3 linked regions of the Danio rerio genome follow. The protein of the gene in region 2 binds, or shares a complex with, the protein of the main gene of each other region. Links are inferred from orthologs where the notes say so. Each region holds a gene or a part of one and is shown on either strand. Other genes may lie near its edges.

Evidence for each region. The genes of interacting proteins can lie anywhere in the genome.
Region 1: snrpd1 (region 2) and gemin2 share a complex: the UniProt entries of both Homo sapiens proteins name them as parts of the SMN-Sm complex. The link is inferred for Danio rerio from reciprocal best matches to the Homo sapiens genes SNRPD1 and GEMIN2.
Region 3: snrpd1 (region 2) and lsm5 share a complex: the UniProt entries of both Homo sapiens proteins name them as parts of the U4/U6-U5 tri-snRNP complex. The link is inferred for Danio rerio from reciprocal best matches to the Homo sapiens genes SNRPD1 and LSM5.

The regions. Positions count from the first base shown.
Region 1 is NC_133192.1:14,292,587-14,296,645, reverse strand, and holds the start of gemin2 (gem-associated protein 2), read right to left. Parts: upstream 2,801-4,059; 5' UTR 2,691-2,800; coding exon 2,572-2,690; exon of another isoform or gene 2,551-2,571; intron 1,526-2,550; coding exon 1,444-1,525; intron 1,364-1,443; coding exon 1,274-1,363; intron 98-1,273; coding exon 38-97; intron 1-37. UniProt on the Homo sapiens protein: The SMN complex catalyzes the assembly of small nuclear ribonucleoproteins (snRNPs), the building blocks of the spliceosome, and thereby plays an important role in the splicing of cellular pre-mRNAs.
Region 2 is NC_133194.1:2,232,883-2,237,057, forward strand, and holds the start of snrpd1 (small nuclear ribonucleoprotein Sm D1), read left to right. Parts: upstream 1-1,375; 5' UTR 1,376-1,519; coding exon 1,520-1,533; intron 1,534-2,123; coding exon 2,124-2,200; intron 2,201-4,175. UniProt on the Homo sapiens protein: Plays a role in pre-mRNA splicing as a core component of the spliceosomal U1, U2, U4 and U5 small nuclear ribonucleoproteins (snRNPs), the building blocks of the spliceosome.
Region 3 is NC_133187.1:13,906,748-13,910,855, reverse strand, and holds the start of lsm5 (U6 snRNA-associated Sm-like protein LSm5), read left to right. Parts: upstream 1-1,308; 5' UTR 1,309-1,390; coding exon 1,391-1,436; intron 1,437-2,198; coding exon 2,199-2,294; intron 2,295-3,535; coding exon 3,536-3,563; intron 3,564-4,108. UniProt on the Homo sapiens protein: Plays a role in pre-mRNA splicing as component of the U4/U6-U5 tri-snRNP complex that is involved in spliceosome assembly, and as component of the precatalytic spliceosome (spliceosome B complex).

The sequences.
Region 1 (4,059 bases), on a different chromosome or scaffold from region 2:
AGATTTAATTTAAGCCCAATAATAAATAAAGTCCTACCATGACAACATTATCATCCAAAAACTGAGCTTTCCAATGCTGACGATGCTTGTTCACACTCTGAAACAAGAAATATATGGATGAAACAAATTACAAAAACAAATTCTAAAAAGTCTAAAAGTACTTAAAGGGATAGTTCAACCAAAAAGAACATTTACTCTGTATTTACTCCCCCTCAAGTGGTTATCAACCTTTATGAATTTCTTTCCTCTGTTGAGAGGCATTTTGAAGAGTGTTGAAAACCTGTAACCACTGACTTCCATATTAGGAAAAAGAAATACTGTAGTAACAACAAATTCTAAATACTACTACTAAGTCAATAGTTACAGGTTTTCAGCTTTCTTCAAAATAAAGGGTGAGTAAATGATGACAGAATGAAATATTAAATGAAAGTTGTCATCATTTACTCATCCTTTATTTTGAACAAAGCTGAAAACCTGTAAAACCTGTTTTTTTTTTCATCTGCTAAACACAAAAGAATCTATTCTGAAAAATGTTGGAAAGCAGTAACCATTGACTTCCATAATATTTGTTTTTTTTTACTATGGAAGTCAGGTTTCTAACATTCTTTATAATATCTTCTTTTGTGCTCAACAGGAGCTGAGCCGAAAGGCAAAGCTTTCGATTTACCGGTCAATCTACGTTCCTACTCTCACCTATGGTCATGAGCTTTGGGTCATGACAGAAAGGACAAGATCACGGTTACAAGTGGCCGAAATGAGTTTCCTTCGAAGGGTGGCAGGGCGCACTCTTATGGATAGGGTTAGGAGCTCTGTCACCCGGGAGGAGCTCTGAGTAGAGCCGCTGCTCCTCCACATCGAGAGAACTCAGCTGAGGTGGTTCAGGCATCTGTTTGGGATGACTCCTGGACGCCTACCTAGGGAGGTGTTCCAGGCATGTCCCACCAGGAGGATGCCTCATGGAAGACCCATGACACGCTAGAGGGACTATGTCTCTTGGCTGGCCTTGGAACGCCTCGGGATCCCCCCCGGAGGAGCTGGAGGAACTGTCTCGGGAGAGGGAAATCTGGGGTTGTCTCCTAAGACTGCTGCTCCAGCGACCCGGCCCGGAAAAGCGGCAGAAAATGAATGAATGGATTTGCTCAACAGAAAAAATAAACTTGAAAAAATTTGGAACCACTTGAATAATAGTAACATTCATAAATAATGAGTAAATATTCATTTTTTGTGTGTGAACTATCCCTTTAAAGAAACTAATGTGGTTAATATTGAACACCTGTCTGACTTCTGAAAATCTGCTGACTTGTTGCTGCTGCCATTTAAAGCTGGGTGAAAAACCCTCAGGTGCAGCAAGACAACCTGTGATCTGAGGCAAAAATAATGGCACAGTTATTTTACACATTACAGAATTTATAACAGATTATTCAGTTCACTTTTCCCACTTACAGACACATTCACTGACTGTTTCTTCAGCTTCTTTGGATCAATTTGTGCCACAACAACATCTGGACACAGAGATGCTTCCCTCCTGTAAAATATACAGTAGTCGATATTTAAACAGGGTCTTTTTATTAAAGTTGCCCGAAAACCATTGAACAACACCCACTCTTGTCTTAGAACAATTTCGAAAAGCGTTTTCAATCCACTTGTAAAATGCTGACTACTATAATGTTCATCGAACAAGAGTCAAAGTCAAGCATAGTTTCATCAACAAGAAAAAGCTAATACAGCTTTAAAGTAGTTTTGTTTTTCCTGTTGCATTAGAATGTGTAAAATAACATTTTTTACAAACAATATTTACAATAGTTATTCTGTGTAATAGTAATTTATTAGCCAAAAGCATTAAAGTGTAGCCCCAAATCATATTTTGTTAGTGCCACTGTCCTTCGGATCACTAGTTTTACCAATTTGATCAATTAGTTCAACGTGCTAAGCATTGGGTAACAAACTATGAGGTTCTAGGTATGAAACCAGCATAGAGCCACAATCTTGACGGGCGGCACGGTGGCTTAGTGGTAACCACTGTCACCTTACAGCAAGAAGGTCACTGGTTCGAGTCCTGGCTGGGCCATAAGGCATTTCTGCGTGGAGCTTTAATGTTCTCCCCGTGTTGGTGTGGGTTTCCTCTAGGTGCTCTGATTTCCCCCACAGCGCTCTCTCTGTGAGTGTGTGTGTGTGTGTGTGTGTGTGTGTGTGTGTGTGTGTGTGTGTGTGTGTGTGTGTGTGTGTTTTTAGCTGGTCATCTCCCAGCCTGCCCAGCTAAGACCAGGCTGGAAATGACTGGAAACCAGCCTGCAAATGGCCATAACCCCTCTCAAACAAGCCTGGTCAACCAGCTAAAACCAGCCAACCAGCCTAGGCTGGTTTAAGCTGTTTTTTTTTTCCAGTAGGGTTTAACAACATAAGTACTGTTTAATTGACTGAATAATGTTGTACTTTAGTAGTCATTGGCAGCTAATATGATCTCCTTCTTTACAATTTGCAAATAATACTTTTCTAAAACTGTATTATTGATGAGAATGTCTGAATGTGCGAATATTAAACCAACTTTACCTCAATAGCCGAAAGACTTACTGGACAAATCTGAGATATTCCTGAGGGTTTCTAGGCGGCTCGGTAAGAGTATATTCCTCTGTGTCGCAGGAATCCACTGGCAGGAGTCTGGGCATCAACTCCTCGGCGTCTGACTTCATCTCTTTGCCTTATTTTTTATGCACGACCATCAAAATAAATCAACATGCTCACTATTACGTGCATGTCAACCTCTCCATTTTGAAAACATTGGACACGAGGATGACGATCAATAGACGCGACGGTTCTTTTATTCACTCGCTTACAGATGGAAAGATGTGTAGCGACATCTGTTGTTTAGGAGAAATGTGAAGGGTAACAACATAAAATGGTGGAGAAATATTGTACAAGTAGAATATTTTTTATTTACTCCCCAATAAGGTTAAATAAAAAGGAAAAATTATCAAATAAGAGCTGTGTTTTTTGAAAACTCTACCCCTTCTGCTATCTCACATTGAAACGGTCTTTTTGATTATTTAAACTGGGGAAATATATGGTCCATACATCAAGTTTTTCCTTACTAAAAAGGTAAAGGAAATATCTTTTAAATTATTACATAACATTTATCCTATCAAAAATGTCTTAAAGAAAAGATTTGGATCATACTTTGATACAAATATCTCCTTTTGTCAGATTAACGCTGAAACTCCTCGCTTATTTTGGTCATGCAATTGTCCAAATATTACTTTACAGCATTTTTCTGTGACTACAAAAGTCATTTTTGGTGTTTTTTATAACAAAGTTTAATGTCTACTTTAAAATAAACCTTTTTCTTTATGCAGATTTTATGTTCATAAATGTATATTGTCAATGTCAAGTTGCAAGCTAACATTTCTAGCATTTACAAGAGATTAAAAATTACTTACAGTTCCAGATTCACTTAACAAGAAAGTACTCAAAGCATACCATTTGCACGACCTTTATAATCAATTAAATCTCTAAATTGCTGCTTCTTATTTTGCCCTCTTCACTTTCAATTTTTTTTAAATCTATATATCTACCCTCAGATCAGATGGCCTATTGATATTTCTTTGTTTTTTGTTTGATTTCTGTTGGTTGTTCCTCTTTCTTTTTTCTTCTTTTTCATTCTTTATTGGCACCATTGTAAATAATCTAATGATTATTATTGTAAATGATGTGCACCAAATGTATCTTTCTGTAATACAGTAAATGTATTTAAAAAAGATAAAGAAAATATTACACAGGTATCCCTGCCATCTGTTCATTAATACATTTTAAAAAGACATTTCATCAGAATGTTTTAAACCTGAAAGTCTCCTACATCTATTTTGTGCTTGTACATTTATTGACGACTTTTGGAAACTGGTTTCAGGGTTAATTTTTTACTCAGTTTATAATAAAATTATATATAATTAACTTGGATGAATGCATGATTCTTTTTTAAACTGAAAACTGGCCATGATACACTCGGTAATGCTTTGAAGTTGATTATTTTTCTTGGGACGTTTCACATACACAAGGCAAAATTAA
Region 2 (4,175 bases):
GGGTTGCCAGATTCGTTAAATTAAATCTTTTGCTACGTGAAAAAAGTGTCTGAATTTAAAGCTGTATTATACTTATATTATCTCGAAACCCAATTAAAGCTTAAATATGACTATTATTGCTGTTTCTGTTAATTAAAGTATGTTTTTATTAATTTATTTACCTTTACTTGAGATATCGCCACGGGGTTGCCAGATATTTTAAAATTGAATCCACAACTGTGCATGAATGTTATTTTTAATAGAGAAAATATAATTACAAAGACAGAAGAAACTTTATATTATATTATAGTATATTATTTATTCATTATCTAAAATAAATAGTATTTTAGAGATTCACTGTAGTATAAAAAATACGTAAAAATTGTTTAAATTTAAAGTTGTATTATACTTTTATTATCTTAAAACGCATCTAAAACTTTAAATTTGATTATTATTGCTGTTTTGGTTAATTAAAAGTATGTTTATATTAACCTATTTACCTTTACCGTGAGATATTGTCACTGTAGGGTTGCCAGATACGTTAAAAATAAATCTATTCCTGTGGTTGTTAAATGCAGCTTTTTTTTTAAACTGGGAAAATATAAATAGAGTAAAGACAGAATAAAGCTTTCATTATATTATAGTATCTTATTTATTCATTATCTACAATAAACAGTATTTTGGAGCTTCACTTTGATATGAAAATGACACTACATGAAAAATTGTCTAAATTTAAAGCTGTATTATACTTTTATTATCTTAAAACACAAGTAAAGCCTTAAATATGGGTATTATTGCTGTTTTGGTTTAATAAAAGTGTGTTTTTATTAACCTATTTACTGTATCGTCACTGTGGGGTTGCCAGATACGTTAAAACTAAATCTATTCCGGTGGATGTTGAATGCTATTTTTTTGAATTAAGAAAATATAATTACAAAGAAAAAAACAGAATAAAGTTAATATTTTATTATAGTATATTTTTATTCATAGTCTAAAATAAATCATATTTTGTAGCTGCGCTGTGATATGGAAAAGATTTAAACATTTATGAAAAAAAAGTGTCAAAATTTAAATCTGTATTATACTTTTATTATCTTAAAACGCAATTGAAGCCTTAAATATGATTAATATTGCTGTTTTGGTTTTTTAAAAGAATGCTTTAAGGAAACTATTTACTGTGAGATTAAATTATTGTTGTTTTGGTTAATTAAAAGTGTATTTTTATTAACCTATGTACCATGAGATATCGAAATTGAAAAATACTTTTAAGCTATTATCATAATAAAAATTGTTGTAGCAACATTTAAAATTTTAAATTCGCTTTTGTATGTTTATAACATGCTTATAAATGAAATTACCAGCGTGTAAAAATATTCCGGTGATTTTGTTGAGTAATGGCAACCCTTCTGTCCTCAGAATTCTGTTTCCCTTTCACCCAGGAAGTGATTGTACCATCTCTCCAGTAGCGTCCTACATTCGTTTTGCGCTACAATTTTTTCTCATCTAGGTGGAGGATTTTCTCTCAAAGTCCACCGCCATCATGAAACTCGTCAGGTAATAAACATCTACAGCTGTCATACAAGTAAAATACACAAAGAAACTTTGCGGATGCGCGATGTATTTTAATAGATGGAGCCGGATTGTGTGTAGCTGCTAGTTAGCCGTTAGCTTCATCAGGCGGGAATGAATGAATGGGCGAGCGTTTGTTTGAACGTTTTACTCATTTGTTTTAAGCACATACGTGTTTTAAACTATGTAATAAGCGGGTTTAGTCTTAGATTATTAATACATTGTGCGTTTTTTGGTGGTAGTTTGATCATGCGGGGTCTTAAATGCAACAAATACATAAACAGAAACAATAACTGTTAATGCTAAGTTAGCTACATTTATTTACTAGTTTCTAAATATGCTAGCTGTATATAATCATATAATTATGTTAATAGACACTATAGTGTGTAGTTAGGAAGTCTAAAGATTATTGGATATATAGTTTATCATTTGTTTTAAATATAGTTATCAGTTTATTATCATTAGTAAGCTGTAAATACTTTATATAATCATATTGACAAAATGCTTTATATGTAGATATTAGACGTTATGTTATTATAATTGTTTATCATTGTTTTTATGATTGTGACCTGCAGGTTTTTGATGAAATTGAGCCATGAAACCGTCACGATTGAGCTGAAGAATGGCACACAGGTCCATGGCACAATTACAGGTAATTATTATTTTAAGTAATGCACCATAATCACATTTATAAACTGTCTGCTATGTGCCTGTTTCATTAAATGAGGTCATATTATGCATTTTCTCTTTGAATCTGATGCATTACATCTCATAGGTGGCCAATAAATGTGCTTATATTGAGGTGAAGTTGGTTTTATATTAGCAGGTTTAGACTTTGGCGTTCTATGAAATAGCAAAGCAGTATTTAAAAAGGTGAATACAGATTCATTATTTTTTACCACGCTGCTTTGAATATTTGATCTGAAATCACATATAAGAATGACTTCAAAACAATATTAGACCGTAAACAATATTGTGCTTTATAGTCATTTGGTGATAATATGATTCCCCTATTTAGTATTTGCAAATAATACTTTTCTGAAATTATATTAAGTCTGAATGTGTGAATATAAAAACAACTTTACCTCAATTACATCTGTCAGCTCCCGGAAAAAATGCATTTAACCTTTTAGCTGAAAATGACTTGACTTAATTGGATTGTTATGCAATACTGTGCACCTTTTATAAAGCTGCTTTGAAACACTAGTCATTGTAAAAAGCGCTATACAAATAAACTTGAATTAAAAAGACTCATTGTATATGCCCTATATTGTGCTAATAATAATAATTAGAAAACTTGTTATACTTTGTTGATGAATTAATGCCACTGAGTCAGACTCGTATTATAATAATCATGTGAGCAGAAAAACAATAGATCATGGTATTGTGTGAAAATTTACATCTTTACTTGTGGAGATTTTCAATTTTTAGACCAGTGATTCCCAAAGTGGGAGTCGGGACCTCCTGGGAGGTCGTGAGTCCTTGAGGGGGGGTTGCTTGGTGATTTCCAATATATACATATAAATAAATTATTAAAATTACCATATTTTATCCATAACCTGCAGAAGATAGTGTTTAATAGTTACATTTAAAACAAAAACATGTACATAAACAGACAGCAGCGTTTACATTATTTTTCCATTGGATTACGACTCCTTGAGTGATTACGCTAGATTAATAACACAGCAATAGTGTTAGTTGCAGCAGATTTATTTTACGGCTCAATGTTAAACTTTGACACATTTACAGCACTCCTGTACATTAAAAATAAAGGCCACGACTGAACATAGAGGACGATCTCCAAGTGGCGGTCTCCGAAATTAAATCAAGAATAGACTTGTGCTGTATATATTTCACAATTCTCATTAAGTGAGGTTAATATTAAATTAAACAAATGAATAGTGACTATAAAATGATATGGTTGATAAACTGCTGCACTTTTGTTGTGTTGTCAATAAGCTTGTTTATATAGTTGCTATTGGTTTGTGTGTGTGCATTATTGTGTACAGTGTTTGTATGCTTATTACTAGGCCCACACTTATTTTGCGCGAGCTGAATTCCGCTGATGTTTAGCCCATCATTAATTCTGTTTATTTACTTGAGTAAATGTGTGTAAATCTATATTAATTCAGTTTTTACATTTATTTCAGTAATATTATTGACTAATATGAAAATGTTCGTCTGACTTATGTACAATGCAGTTTGTACCGTAATATTTTCTGTCTTTTAGTAGAGATATTATATGAGAGACTTGCTTTGTTTACCAAATAATGTGAATCTAATTGGATTAGCATTTTAAACATTAAATAAAAATTATATAAAGATATTTTTTTTTATGTCATATATTAAGGTTTTAGTTATGATACTCCCAAAATAATTCCGCAGATCTTTACCAAAACTCTCCGCAGAAATAGCAAAAAACGCCCGCAGATTCCATCTGGCCCTACTTATAACCACCTCAGAGGATAGTGGGGTTGTGAGTTACTAAAATTGTTATTTTGGGGGTCACGAGTTAAAAAGTTTGGGAACCCCTGATATAGATCATAGCAACTTTTCATTTCTTGCTAGTTGTAATACACAATGTAACTACAGAAGAATCAAGTGAGATGCTAATGGTCTAATCTGAT
Region 3 (4,108 bases), on a different chromosome or scaffold from region 2:
GAATACAACCTTAGGCCTATAATGATTTTTTTTTACTCTGGAAGTGGAACAGTTACAGTATTGTCAAGTTTTACAAAAAATGGAAACCTATTGTGGAAGTGTACTGTGTTCTGTGTTTTGGTTTCCGATTTGGTCCGTCATTCCATCAGAGAGGAGATACTGGGAGATGGAAAAATTAATCAAGCTATAATCAAGCTATAAAACTCCAAATTACCGTGACAAATTACTGTGACATACAGTTTGGTAGCCTATATGATGCAACATTTTGACTGACTGACATGCCCTTTAAAAGAAAAAACTTGGGTAACACTGCTCTAATGTTACAGCCACAGGCTGTACAAAAAGCCAAGCCCCTCTCATGCTATCGATGTAAACAAAGTAGTAATCTGTTCAGATTCATCTTCAGCCTTAGTTAGTATAGCAAACTCAAAATCAGATAGAGAGGATTTAATAACAGAAATCTATTTATCTTTATATAGATTAAAGGAAATAGGAGTAGTCGTTTATTTCTGCTGGGTTCCATCACATATTGGGGTATCTGGTAATGAAGTTGCTGACAAATTAGCAAAGGAAGCACTAAATAAGCAAGAGGAAGTAAATGTACCTCTGGGGAAAAGAGAGGCAAAATCGATTTTAAAGGAAAAACTAATAAATAAATGGCAAATTAGATGGGATAATAGTAATACTGGAAGATGGCACTATAGTATTATACAGACAGTAGGGACAACACTAAATCAAGGAAGAAATAGGAAGGAAGAGGTGTGGTTATCAAGATTAAGATTGGGACACACAGGGTTAAATGCAACACTTGCGTTAATGGGTTTACATGAGGATGGGAAATGTGATGTATGTGGTGTAACTGAAAATGTGGATTATGCACTATTTATATGTAGCAAATATAATAAACATCGCAATATGTTATTCAGTCAGTGTGGGGAAGATAAAACAATATATAAAATTATTCTAGGAAAAGGTATAATAGATTGGCAAGTATATAGAGCGTTTATTAGGTATATAGAGTATTCGGATTTAGGTTATTATAGTCTTATATTTATGGATGAGAGTATTCTCAATCATTGTCATAAAGGCCCTTTATGTTAGAGGAGCTGAACACGCAGTGCTGACATGAGTATGTGGTCTAGATGCAAAGATTGGACAATATGAAACATCCAAGGTGTTTTTTTCCCCCCTTTCCCTCCCTCCTCGTTTCTTTTTGTTGCCCTTTCATCGGAGTAAGATTCGGTACAGTAGGTGGCGATAATGCTTTTAATTGTTAGTCGCCATAAAACAGAAAGAAGAAGAAGAAGAAGATGCTATCGATGTGTGCTGATATCGATTATCCATGCTTGTAATTGGCTTCCGGTCCCGATTATTCAGGTCTGTTATCAAAATGGCGGCAATCACAGCAACGAATCCTTCGCAGCTTTTACCACTCGGTTTGTTTCACTTTCTTTAAAATTGCTTATCATTTACTGACATAACTTTTGTGTTTTTGTACGGGGCAGAGATGCCAATCAGTCACGTTCGTAACTCACTTTGCTTTTTTATCTAATTGAATACACCTGTGCACAAAAGATGTGGCCCTAATCATGTCAATGTGTTTTTATTTTAACTTAAATATTTAATTTCACAAATTTATACATCAATGTGTGATTGATTATATATAAACGGAAGCCAGTTCATTTAGTTAGTGTGGGCGAAAAAAATAAATCACTAATATGTTTCCCTCTGTTGGAGTTTAAAATATTGTAATTATGACTTGGGAACACATTTATCATTAACAATTTCCATTAAGATGTATTTATAAGTAAGATACTCTGAAAATAAAATTTTATGTATGAGTTACGACATTAGAGATACCGTGTCAAATGATTAAAAGCCACTCCACTCTTTACTCGCAGGATTTTTTTGTTGTTGAGTCAAATAAGCCTAAAATTAGTACTTTAAAGAATGAATTTGGTATTAACATATTACTCAATCCCACACCTAGTGTTAAAGCCAAAGAAATTTTAAATTTTATTAAACGTGGTTCGTTAAAAACTTACCTTGGCTGTATAGTTGTTGAAGTAACGTTTAACATAAATTGAATTTCTTTACAAGGTTTTACAGTTGTATATCACACTGACCACTCAAAATGTTTCCTTTAACAGCCAATGATGTGACTGTGTTTATGATGGGGATTGTGTGCTGTCTTTCAGAGCTGGTGGATAAGTGCATTGGCTCTCGGATTCACATCGTTATGAAGAACGATAAAGAGATTGTGGGAACTCTGCTTGGGTTTGACGACTTTGTCAGTATCCTTTACCTACTGGCGGTAAAAAAATAAACAAAACACTGTCAAATATTTGTGATGTTTACAATTTAGTTTTGGATTCAACTTTTTTTTTTTTTTTTTTTTTATAAATACTGCTAGCTAAAGATATAGTTACACATAAGATTTCCCTTTATTTCCCTTAGTCCGTTTATTAATCTGGGGTCGCCACAGCGGAATGACTCGCCAACTTATTTAGCATATGTTTTACGCAGCGGTTGCTCTTCCAGGGTGGAAAATGGCATAACGGCAGCAATGGTTACTGAACAACAACGTTGTGGAATCAGTCTGCCTAAAGAATGTTCATTAGCCTGTGCTTTAGTTTTAGCATTTTAATATAAGAAAATGTCCAACAAAAGAACTCTATCATATTTACAGACTCCAAATCATGCCTCCAAGTGATGGAATCTTCAGAAAATGATCATCCTTTGATTAATGATATTATAACTAAAGTTCACCATTTACAAAACCATTTTTTTTCATATTTTTTTTTTTTTTTTTTTGCTGGGTTCCGGGACATGTTGGGCTTTCAGGAAACGAGCGAGCTTGATCCAGCAGCTAAGGATGCTTTGAAATAAGTTGTGAACGAATGCCAAATTCCTCTTTTAGAGATGAAATCTTTTATCAACGTTTACTTTTTAAATAAGTGGCAAGAGGAGTAGGATGCATTGAGAAATAATAAACTGTATGAAATACAACCTGAAATCTCAAACTGAATTTTTAGTCATTTTAAGACTAAATTTGATTTAGTGATTTTTACTAGATGTTGTATTGGACATGCAAGAATGATCCATGCTTTTTTTTTTTGCTCAAATGTGAAGACCCTGCTCAATATTTGCACATCACACTTTCTTTTACAGTAAAACAGATTTTACTGGATTGTCCTGCTTTTAACAATTCCAGAAGGCTTTTTTTTTTTTTTTATCAAATGATGTCTCTTCAGGACATTTTTAGCAAAATGACACCTGGAAAATAGTAAAAAAATTATAAAAAAATGTATTAGCATTTAAAGATGTATTTAATTTATGTATTCATTTGTTTTTGTTTTTTAATTGTATATTTATTATTGAAATGTTCTTGCCATGAAAATAGCCTTGCATTGCTGACATGGCATTAAATAAAAAAATACAATACACTACATCACATGTTGTCAACAGAGAAATGTAAATGTCTATGTAATGTTATCTTTGCGATGTTGTACATTTCCTTGATGCTTTACATCAGACATGGTCCTAGAGGATGTCACAGAATTGTAAGTATATTTCCTAAACAAAAATATTAAATATTTGCTTAATTGTCTTTGCACAGTGTATTCATGCATTCTCTTCTGCTTTGACTTAAAGGATAGTTCCCTCAAAAATTTTAATTGTCAACATTTACTCAACCTTCTATTGTTCTAAATGCTGTTCGAGTTTCAAACGATCAGTATCCTGTCTCCAAAATTTTAGGTGTTTGTTTTATTAGGATAAACTATCAATAAAAAAAGCACTTTCGTTCTAGAGATTAACTAAAGCTCAAGTTTTATACCATTAGACTATTTATACTGTATTCTAATTATTCTATAAACTATACTGCATAGAGAAGGCATTTTCTAATCTTTTTAGAAACTTTTTTTAAAGTATGCTTAGTTAGAAGTTCAATGGTATTAGCAAATTTTTATCACTATTGAAACCGTTTAATATTTTGTGACATTATTATTAAAGAATAATTCCAAGTATTATCATTGATTAAAAAAAAAAAAAAATCAATTGAATGTGAAGTGTACTTGAATGTGAAGTGTACACTCATGTATTCAAG